2 linked regions of the Macaca fascicularis genome follow. The protein of the gene in region 2 interacts with the protein of the main gene of each other region in a pairwise test. Links are inferred from orthologs where the notes say so. Each region holds a gene or a part of one and is shown on either strand. Other genes may lie near its edges.

What was found.
Region 1: the proteins of ALDOA (region 2) and ENO3 interact in a two-hybrid assay, tested with the Homo sapiens proteins (2 studies listed by BioGRID and IntAct, with this or other methods). The link is inferred for Macaca fascicularis from reciprocal best matches to the Homo sapiens genes ALDOA and ENO3.

Annotation. Positions count from the first base shown.
Region 1 is NC_088390.1:5,067,912-5,072,231, reverse strand, and holds the start of ENO3 (beta-enolase), read right to left. Parts: upstream 3,049-4,320; 5' UTR 3,023-3,048; coding exon 2,998-3,022; intron 2,476-2,997; exon of another isoform or gene 2,412-2,475; intron 1,874-2,411; exon of another isoform or gene 1,771-1,873; coding exon 1,684-1,770; intron 1,102-1,683; coding exon 1,006-1,101; intron 846-1,005; coding exon 787-845; intron 629-786; coding exon 559-628; intron 189-558; coding exon 55-188; intron 1-54. UniProt on the Homo sapiens protein: Glycolytic enzyme that catalyzes the conversion of 2-phosphoglycerate to phosphoenolpyruvate. Appears to have a function in striated muscle development and regeneration.
Region 2 is NC_088394.1:28,032,318-28,036,891, forward strand, and holds the start of ALDOA (fructose-bisphosphate aldolase A), read right to left. Parts: upstream 2,814-4,574; 5' UTR 2,737-2,813; intron 2,503-2,736; exon of another isoform or gene 1,322-2,502; intron 856-1,321; exon of another isoform or gene 383-855; 5' UTR 370-382; coding exon 229-369; intron 36-228; coding exon 1-35. Other genes in the region: uncharacterized protein, read right to left, coding at 3,397-3,510. UniProt on the Homo sapiens protein: Catalyzes the reversible conversion of beta-D-fructose 1,6-bisphosphate (FBP) into two triose phosphate and plays a key role in glycolysis and gluconeogenesis. In addition, may also function as scaffolding protein.

The sequences.
Region 1 (4,320 bases), on a different chromosome or scaffold from region 2:
GTGGGGGTGGCTCTGTCACGGCAAGATCTAGTGGGGGTGGGTAGCTGCACTTACTGGCACTGGGAGTATGAGGTCAGGGTTCCCAGCGAGATCTGCGATGTGGCGGTACAGGGGGACCCCCTTCTCAGCTGCTCCCGCCTTACACACGGCCAAGGACACGCCCAGGATGGCATTGGCCCCAAACTTGGCTGGAAGGAGGCAAGCGGGAAGAAAGGATGAGAGCTTCTTCCGGGTTTGGGGTGGCTACTCCAAGAAGACGCCAGAGTTCCAAACCACTGAGCATGAAGAATTGGTTAACAGATCTCTCTCCCACCACCTGAGTAGCTCTGGGAGCCCCCACCCCGGGGGAATGTGTCAGCTGCATGTCTGTGTCCACCGCCCAGCCCAGGCCTGGCAGAGGGCAGGCATAGGAAATGCCTGTGGAATGAACACAAATCCATCCAGCTGCGGTGTGACCCAAAATGGGGGACCCAGAAATAACCCATCAGGCCTCACCCCTGTGGCCTCTCACCATCTCTCCCATACCTCAACCCTTCCCCACCGCTGCCCTTCACTCACACTTATTCTCGGTCCCATCCAGCTCAATCATAAATTTGTCAACTTTTTCTTGATCCACAACACTTAGTTTCTGGAAGGGTGGGTTTGAGAGGGGAGAGCAGAGGTCAGATTTCTCAGAAGTCAGGGCACGTACAAGGGGAGGATAAGTGAAAATGGGGAGAGGCGCGTCTGGGGTGAGGGAGCAGGGGCATGGAGAGGAGACTGCAGGGAGCCGGCTTCCCCACTTGCCTTTTGCAGCAGAGCAGGGCCTAGAGTCTTGTTGATGTGCTCCACAGCCTTCAGGACTCCTAGACAGGCCAGAGGACGAGGTTTGGATCTCAATCAATTGGGCCTCTTTCTGTGGACCCCAGCTCCTCAAGAGCTTTGGGGGTTCTAGTCCTCTACCCATTGTGCACCCATGTCCTAAAGCCACCCACACAGACTCCTTCTGCACTGGTGTCTCCTCACCTTTCCCCAGGTAGCGGCCTTTGTCCCCATCTCTTAGTTCCAGAGCTTCATAGATACCTGTGGAAGCCCCACTGGGCACAGCTGCTCGGAATCGGCCTGAGGCAGGAGGAATTGGAAGATCACAGGGATGGCTAGGCCAAGTGGCTCATGCCTGTAATTCCAGCACTTTGGGAGGCCTAGGCAGGTGGATCACTTGAGGTCAAGAGTTCAAGACCAGCCTGGCCAACATGGTGAAACCGTCTCTATTAAAAATACAAAAATTAGCTGGGCGTGATGGCACAGGCGTGTAATCCCAGCTACTTGGGAGGTTGAGGCAGGAGAATCGCTTGAACCCGGGAGGCGGAGGTTGCAGTGAGCCGAGATTGCATCACTGCACTCCAGCCTGGGTGACAGAGCGAGACTGTCTCAAAAAAAAAAAAAAAAGAGCTCACAGGGAGTCCCCTCTACCCCTCAAAGGGCTGAGGTATCCTCTCTGAGCTCAGGGACAGGAGGCAGCGCAGAGACTCCTGCTTCTCTTCTCCCAGCTTCCAGCTCTGGTTCCATTTTGGAAGAGGGCTTGGGAAGAAGTCTGGGAAAGGGAACCTGAGAGAAAGGAGAGGATATGGCACAGAATTGGGGGGTAAAGGCCAAAGGGTTGGGGTCTTCTGGGGCGAGCCTATCCAATGGGCCTTATGTTACCCTTGGCTGTGTGCAGGTCCACCTCCACTGTGGGGTTGCCCCTGGAGTCCAGGATTTCCCGGGCAAAGATTTTCTGCATGGCCATGGCTGCAGGACAGGAGGTGTGAGGGTAGACAGTTGATCTCTTAAGGAACCAGAAATCCCTTGCCCTTTAAGAGTCTTCCCCACTCCAAGAAGGCAGGTGCTGGAGCTAAAAATACCCTACAAAAAGGTCACAGACCAAAGAGGCAGGCGCAGCCCCCTCCCCCACTCAGAATAGCTCTTATTCCACCCTCCCATCCTAAGAATCCAGGGGCCTCTCATCTATGGCTCCTAGGATGCCATCACTCCCCAAGCCCCCACCTCCCCCAAGGCTGCACTTAGGCCTTCTCCTTCCACCCTCTGGTCAAGCAGTCTGTTCTCCACGGCTGGTGGCCTTCAAATCCTTTCTGGTTCTCATTTTCCTGCTCCGAAATCCTCTTGGGCCCCCAGTTCCCTACCAGGTTCCAACTCTAGCTGCCCTTCTCTATCCATCCTTACTGCCCCTCCTCACAGCCTCCTTTCCCTAGATCCTTGGGTGCTCCCAGAGTTTGTCCCATCTGCTTGCTCCAGCCGCCCCTTCCCCCAGCTTTTTCAAGCACCTCCAGTCCCAGGAGAAAAAAAAGCAGAAACGTCCCCCACTTCCTCCAACTCAACACCATGCGCACCCTTTACTACGTCCACCCCGGGGGCTGGAAGATTTAGCTGACCTGGGATGTCTTCGTTGGAGGTTTGGATGGAGCTCCGAGTCTAGGTGGCAGCTGGGACAGTGTCAGCTCACCCCCTCTCGGGCTGCGCATTTATCCCTGAGCCACTGGGTCCCCAGCCAGCCCCGCCTCTCTCTCTCTCCATCCTCCCCCCTTCACACTGGGCTGGCAGCCAAGTGCCCACTACAGCCTAAAGCAGAAGCCTCTGGCCCTGGGCACCTGCCCCCTTACCAAAGGTCAACTACTATCCCCCACTTTCTTTCCGTCCCCCAGTAACAGTCCCAGTTTTAATTCCCCTTTGGGAGGAGCGGGGGAGGGGCTTCAGATGAGGGGTCTCCCCCACCCCAGGATTACATTCCCCTTTTGCAAACGTCAAGAGGAATGTGTGACCTTTAGGAAAGGCCAGGGGTAACCTGAGCCCTGCAAGGCTGGGGAGGGGGCCTGGAAGAGGGGCTGCAGGATTGACATCCACACATGCTCAGATCGCTGGGCGGGCCTCTGCCCTCAGTGGGGGAAGGGAGGGGACTTCTGGGCAAGCTCTGACGTCTAAAATTGAACCCCCCCACCCCAGAAGGCGAGAGAGTCTCACCTCTTAGGGTCCTCATAACGGCCATTATCGGCGACGCCCCATCCTACCCTCTCCAGGCCAGCCAGGGTGGGGATGAATTAGGGGCCAGGAGACAAATTTAGACGGGCCCTCTCGGCTGGCGCGGCGCCCGATTGATAACGCTGGGACAGCACTTGTCGCCCGGCATGGGGACTATTGGTCAGAGCCCTTCTCCCCACCGACTGTGGGCGCTCAGCGCACGGCCCCAGCCCATCAATGAATGGGGTTGAATCAACAGTGAACAAAAATGAATGGACCGAGGACGGGTGGCCCTTTGTGAGCTTCTGCACGCCTGGGGCTCCTCCGGCGCCCCGCCGTAGCACTGCGGGGAGGTGGGTCTCTGCTCTCGGTAGAGATCTCCACCTTGCCAGCTCTGGGGCCAGTGCGGGGTCTGCCCCGAGCTCCTCTGCAGCCATGCCAGCCGAACGGCTGGGGTCACGGGGCTCGACTCGGAGGCCCTTCCCGCCGGCGCCGGGGCAGCCCGCGCCCGGTGACTCACCCCCGCCTCCCTCTCCCCACCCCTGCTCCCCGCCCCGCCGGCCAGCGCGGCCTCCCAGCCCCCACCTCAAGCCACCTGGCCCGCCACCCGTCCCGTCTCCCATCTTGCCCCGCCCTCTCATCTCAGGCCGCTCCTCCCGGGATTTTTCCACCCTGGGGTGGGGGTGCGGCGGGTCAGGGGTCAGGAGATGGCGGGCGGGGAGCGCCGCCACGTGCCCGGGTGCGGCCCCGCCCGAGCCCGCCAGTGACTCAGCCGCGCGGCTGTCGAGGAACACGGGCTCGAGGGGCGTCGGGGACTGTGGGGTTCGGCGTGGACGCCAGGGATGCGCGCCGCACTCGGGAGGAGGAGAGAGAAAACCAAGCCCCTTTCCGCCCGGGCCGCGCTCCGTGACCTCGCGCCCCTAACCCAGGCTCCGGAAGCGGCCCAGCCCTCGGCGGCGGGTCGGAGAAGACGGCTTCACCTCGGCCGCCACCCGGCCGCCCCGCCCTCCCCAGGTGGCGGCGAGCGCACATCTGACTGAGAAGAAACCCAAAGGGCCCGAAGTGGGACTTTCCCCTTCTTGAAAAAGTTGCCACTCTTGCAACTTGAGTATTCTTCCGCCTCGAAAAATAGCCCCGCCTGTTAAGCCCCGCGGGTGTCCGCGCTCAGTGACCTCTGCAGACTCAGGCCAAGGGGCACGGCCGGTGATCCAGACATTGCCTGCCCGGGGCGGGCGCGGCTGGGATATGGGATAAGGCCCTGGGCTAGAGCCGATCCAGAGAAGGGACAATCCTCTGGACTGAGAATGGGCCCTGGTGAACCTAACC
Region 2 (4,574 bases):
TATTGGTAGGGCATGGTGCTGGTGGTAGCAAGTTCCTGGGTACAGGAAGCAGGGGAAGGACTAGTTAGCTGGGGTTTCCCATCATCTCCCAATGAGCAGGGCTCCTCGCCTGGAGGTCAGGGAAACGTTCCCTACCTCCCCTGCCCCACACCCAGCAGGCCCTGGGGCGCTTCTGGTCCCCAGCTCTCCCGTAGGCCCAACTTCCCTATACTAGGCCTGCCCCTGTACCTTTCCTAACTCTGTCTGGTGCTGGGTGTTGCCCAGCTGAGGGTGGAGTTGCGCACTGGCAACTGGGGGAAAGGAAAAGGCCATAGCCATAGACAGGTGGGTCATGTTGAAGCTGGACCCTTCTGGCTTGCGCCTTGCCATGGGGTCACCTTGCCTGAAAACAAAACCGAACCGGAGTATTTTAGAATGTAAAGATTGAATCGAGCAGAGGGCCCAACACCCTCGTGGGAAAGGGCCCAGATAAGGGTAAAGTCTGTGCTTCAAGCCACACAGCAACCCCGGAGCCAGATCTGAGATTAGAACCCAGCTCTTCTGACTGCCACTGGGGTGTTCCTTCCAATCCACCCAAGATCCCAGGACTGGCTCGGGCTCCAAGTCTTCAAGGACATCCCAAGGTCAGGCTTTTCCCCACAAGGGAGGGGGTGGGTGGTAGGAAAGGGGTATTAGGAAAAAGATAAGAGAGCAACGAGAAGCCCAGGAAAGGGCGGTGGAGCAAGCCCTAGCCCGAGGCAAGGAAAGCGGTAAGCTTTGCCGTCGTCACTGTTCCTACGGGGCAAGCGCCTTCCCCTGAAAAATGCTCCTGTCGCTTCGCACGGCTGCAGCTGTTCCGGGCTCAGAATCAAGGTCGCCCGATAAGGAGAGACAGGGAAAGCGTTAATGGGGCATCAAGCACCGCCAAGGGGTTTCCCCTCCTCACGAGGGGCGGCCCGTTTCCCAGGGCAGAAACCAACCTCCCGCTTGCGAGAACCCTGGGGCTGTACACGGGCCGACCCCCACCCCTCAGTGGCTCTTAGGATCCCCGCCAGGGCTAAGGGGCCCTAATCCTTTGCCACAGGGGTCCCTGCAAGAAAAGGGGAGGGGAATGGTCCTTCATCTCATCCGGCTTCCTCCCCCGCCATGACTCAGCACGCGCTGCCGCTGCATTGCGCAGTTATGGGACCTCAGGCTGGAGGAGCCGGAGAGCCTGTGTGTGGCTGCTAGTAGGGAGACGCTGGCATGGGGTGGGGTGCTCCACGAGGACGCCCAACCCGCCACTGCCCCCAAGATCCCTCTCCAAGGTCCCTGGTCCCTGCACGTGAAGAGGGGCGCTCACCTGGCACAGAAGAGGGGCGGGTGTGCAGGGTGCGGCGGCAGAGGGCGACGGGCTGGCGAGTGGACTCAGTGAGCGAACGCGGCACTCGTCACCAGGACCCCTTCTGCGGCGCGTTCCGAGAGGAACGCAGCCGATTCAGCCTCGGAGGGGGCGGCGCAAGGGGCGGGAAAGAGGAAGGCAGCGCCTGGCCTTTTAAAGGCACCACTCCGCCCTCCGCCGAGCATTTTCCTTTACGAGGAGCGGGCGGCGTCCAATTGCAGGCGATAGACTGGGCTACGGACCGCCCCTGAGAGGAGCAGCCCAGAGGCCGCGCTAGGAAGGGGCGGGCGCCGAGAACACGATCCCTCCCCACCCCCCTCGGACGTGACTCGGGCCACATCCCGCGGGTCGCAAGCTCCCGCCCCTCCGCTCCTTTCCCCCCAGCCTGGTGCGCTCTGGGGCGCCGTGACTCAGCTAGAATGTTGGCACTGGAGAAGGGGGAGACCGGGAAGTGGGGGATGCGGATAGAAGAGTCGGAAACGAAGGAGGCTGAGTTTCGTCGCCCAGGCCGGGCCCGCGGCCCGGGACCGCCCCAGCTTCGGGCTTCGCGGCTGCGGCGCGTGTCACCATCGGGGCCACATCGCGCAGTCGTGCCTCAGCCTGCCTCGCCCGCGGGCTGGATCCGCGCGGAGCCGATCCCCAGTCACTGGCCCAGGCGTAACAGAGGCGGAGGAAAGGGCAGCGAGAGGACGCGCAGGCAGCGCGAGAGGGCAGCAGAGCTGGCGCAGCGCGGAGGCGAGGCCTCCCGGTGCGAGCTCCCGGCGGGCGGGCCGGGCTGGGTCGCGCATGCGTGCGCGCTCTTTGCCTGGGCCGCCGCAGCCAGGCTGGTAGTCTTCTGCGCCACCGAAAACCAGAATGCGCGGCTATGGACCGGCCGCTGCTCGGCCTCGGGCATGCGGGGCCACAGTTCCTGCCAAACGCCCTCCTTGCGCCTGACTTCCATCTCCAAAATAAAATCCGTCCCCGAACTGATCTGTCTCCCAGATGCTTAGCCCCCTGCTCCTACCGTCCAAGTCTCCCCTCCTCACCCGGACCCATCTGGACCCTGTCGGCCCAACCCCATCCCCACTCCGGCCCGGTCCTGCAAGGGGCCCACCTGCGGCAAGGCTGAAGGAGCCGGCAGAGCCTGGTCAGCAGCGAGTGAGCCAGGGGTGCCCGGGCTGGGTTATAAGGCGGCTCCTGCCCGCCCCACACGTGTCCCCGACCTTCTCCGATGACCCCTGCCCTTTTCCCGCCACGGATCCTCTGGCAGGGACCTATATTTAGGGAAACCTGAAGCCCCTGACATTCACACCAGCCTGGGGCCCGGCATGGAGTAAGGGGGAGGAAGCCTTGGGTCGGCCCTGTTGACGGGGAGGGAGCCCTTGCCCACTCACCGGTGCTTCAGAGGAAATTTCTTCTTTGGAAATCCAGACGGAGGCCCTTGATTGTCAAGAGAAATAAATCTTTGGCCAGGGACCTGTGGGAGGGAAAGGGATGAGGGGACTCAGATCACGTGGCCTCCCTGCCACCCTCCCAGACTCCTCTAATCTCTCTCCTCCCCAGACTCCCTGCCGTGATGGTGGCTGTTCTGATTCTCTGGAGCCCTGGTTTTTTTTAGGAAGGAGAGCAGATACTGGCACTACACTCACCTCCTAAAATAACCGAGAGTCCGTGGACGGAGTGTGGTCGGGCACCCTTGTGTACCCGGTACTCAAGGGCCAGGCTCCTCCTATAACACTTGTGTGTGGTGAGCAGCGCCACCCCCCTGCCCACCTTCAAATAGAATCGTTGACGTGGGGAGGGGAAAGGGAGCCAGGACACCTGCCCCAGCAGTAGCCCCTCTCTCTTCTGGCCCTCCAGAGGAGCTGCCGTCCAGTCGGCCAAGAGTCCCGCCCTGCAGGGAGCCAGGCCCCGCACTGCCACTTCCAGTTCCCAGGCCTGGGTGCTGGGCAGGCCATTTGTGGTTGCAGTGGCCTGGAGAAAGGCTCTTCAGGGAGGAGGGCCCATGGGCCCTGGGGGCTGGCCACTCTCCAGAGGGCAGGGGCCCTGGGTTCTCATCGGAGCTTGATTTCGAAGCAGAGACAGTTGAGGCTCTGGCAGTCAGGGAGCTGGCACGTACAGGCACAGTCGCAGAGTGGGCAGCAGCGGGGGCAGCGAGGTGCCCAGTCCTGAGGGAGGAGAGAGAGGGGTGAGGTAGGTGGGATGGGGCCAAGCCTGTTGCTCTCTAAGGGGAGAAGGGAACAAAGAGGCCTGGGAAGTTCCGCTTGCCCAGTGGAACAGAGGGTACTGTCCATCATTCCCAGAAACAAGAGCAATTCTCTGTGCTGTTGAAAAATCAGCAATGAGTCCTTGTTCTGAACAACTGAGTTCAGGAGCTAGAAGCAACGATTCGGGGTTCTCTCCTTCCTATTTTATGGGTGAGAAGACTGAGGACCAGAGAGCAACTGGCCCTGGGTCCCATGCTAGAATTTGGGCCTCCCAGTGTTAAGCTCAAAAGATGGCTCTGCTACAGTCCCGGGGTCTGTGCAGTTGAGGCAGTAGACAGAGAAAGCACATACATTTTTCTGTCCATCATGAAAATGACTTGTGGGCTTTATGGACTTCTTCAGCATGAGACCAAACTATAGGGTCTCATTCTCACTATTTTTGTGCATCTGCTCTCTGCAAGGAACAGACCGCATTCGTGAATGATTTAAAAAATCTTTCTAGGTATCTTTGAAAATGGCAATTTACATATTTTTCTTTTCTTTTTCTTTTTTTTTTTTTTTTTTGAGACAGGGTCTCACTCTGTCGCCCAGGGTGGAGTGCAATGATGCGATCTTAGCTCACTGCAACCTCCGCCTCCTGGGTTCAAGCAATTCTTCTGCCTCAGCCTCCCAAGTAGCTGGAACTACAGGTGTGAGCCACCACACCCAGCTAATTTTTGTATTTGTAGTAGAGATGGGGGTTTCACCATGTTAGTCAGGCTGGTCTCGAACTCCTGACCTCAGGTGATCCACCTGCCTTGGCCTCCCAAAGTGTTGGGATTACAGGAGTGAGCAACTGTGCCCTGCCATATATATATATATCGAAATGGAGTTTTGCTCCTGTTGCCCAGGCTGGAGCTCAATGGCGCGATCTTGGCTCACTGCAACCTCCACCTCCAGGTTCAAGTGGTTCTCCTGCCTCAGTCTCTCAAGTAGGTGGGATTACAGGCATGCGCCACCACAGCTGGCTAATTTTGTATTTTTAG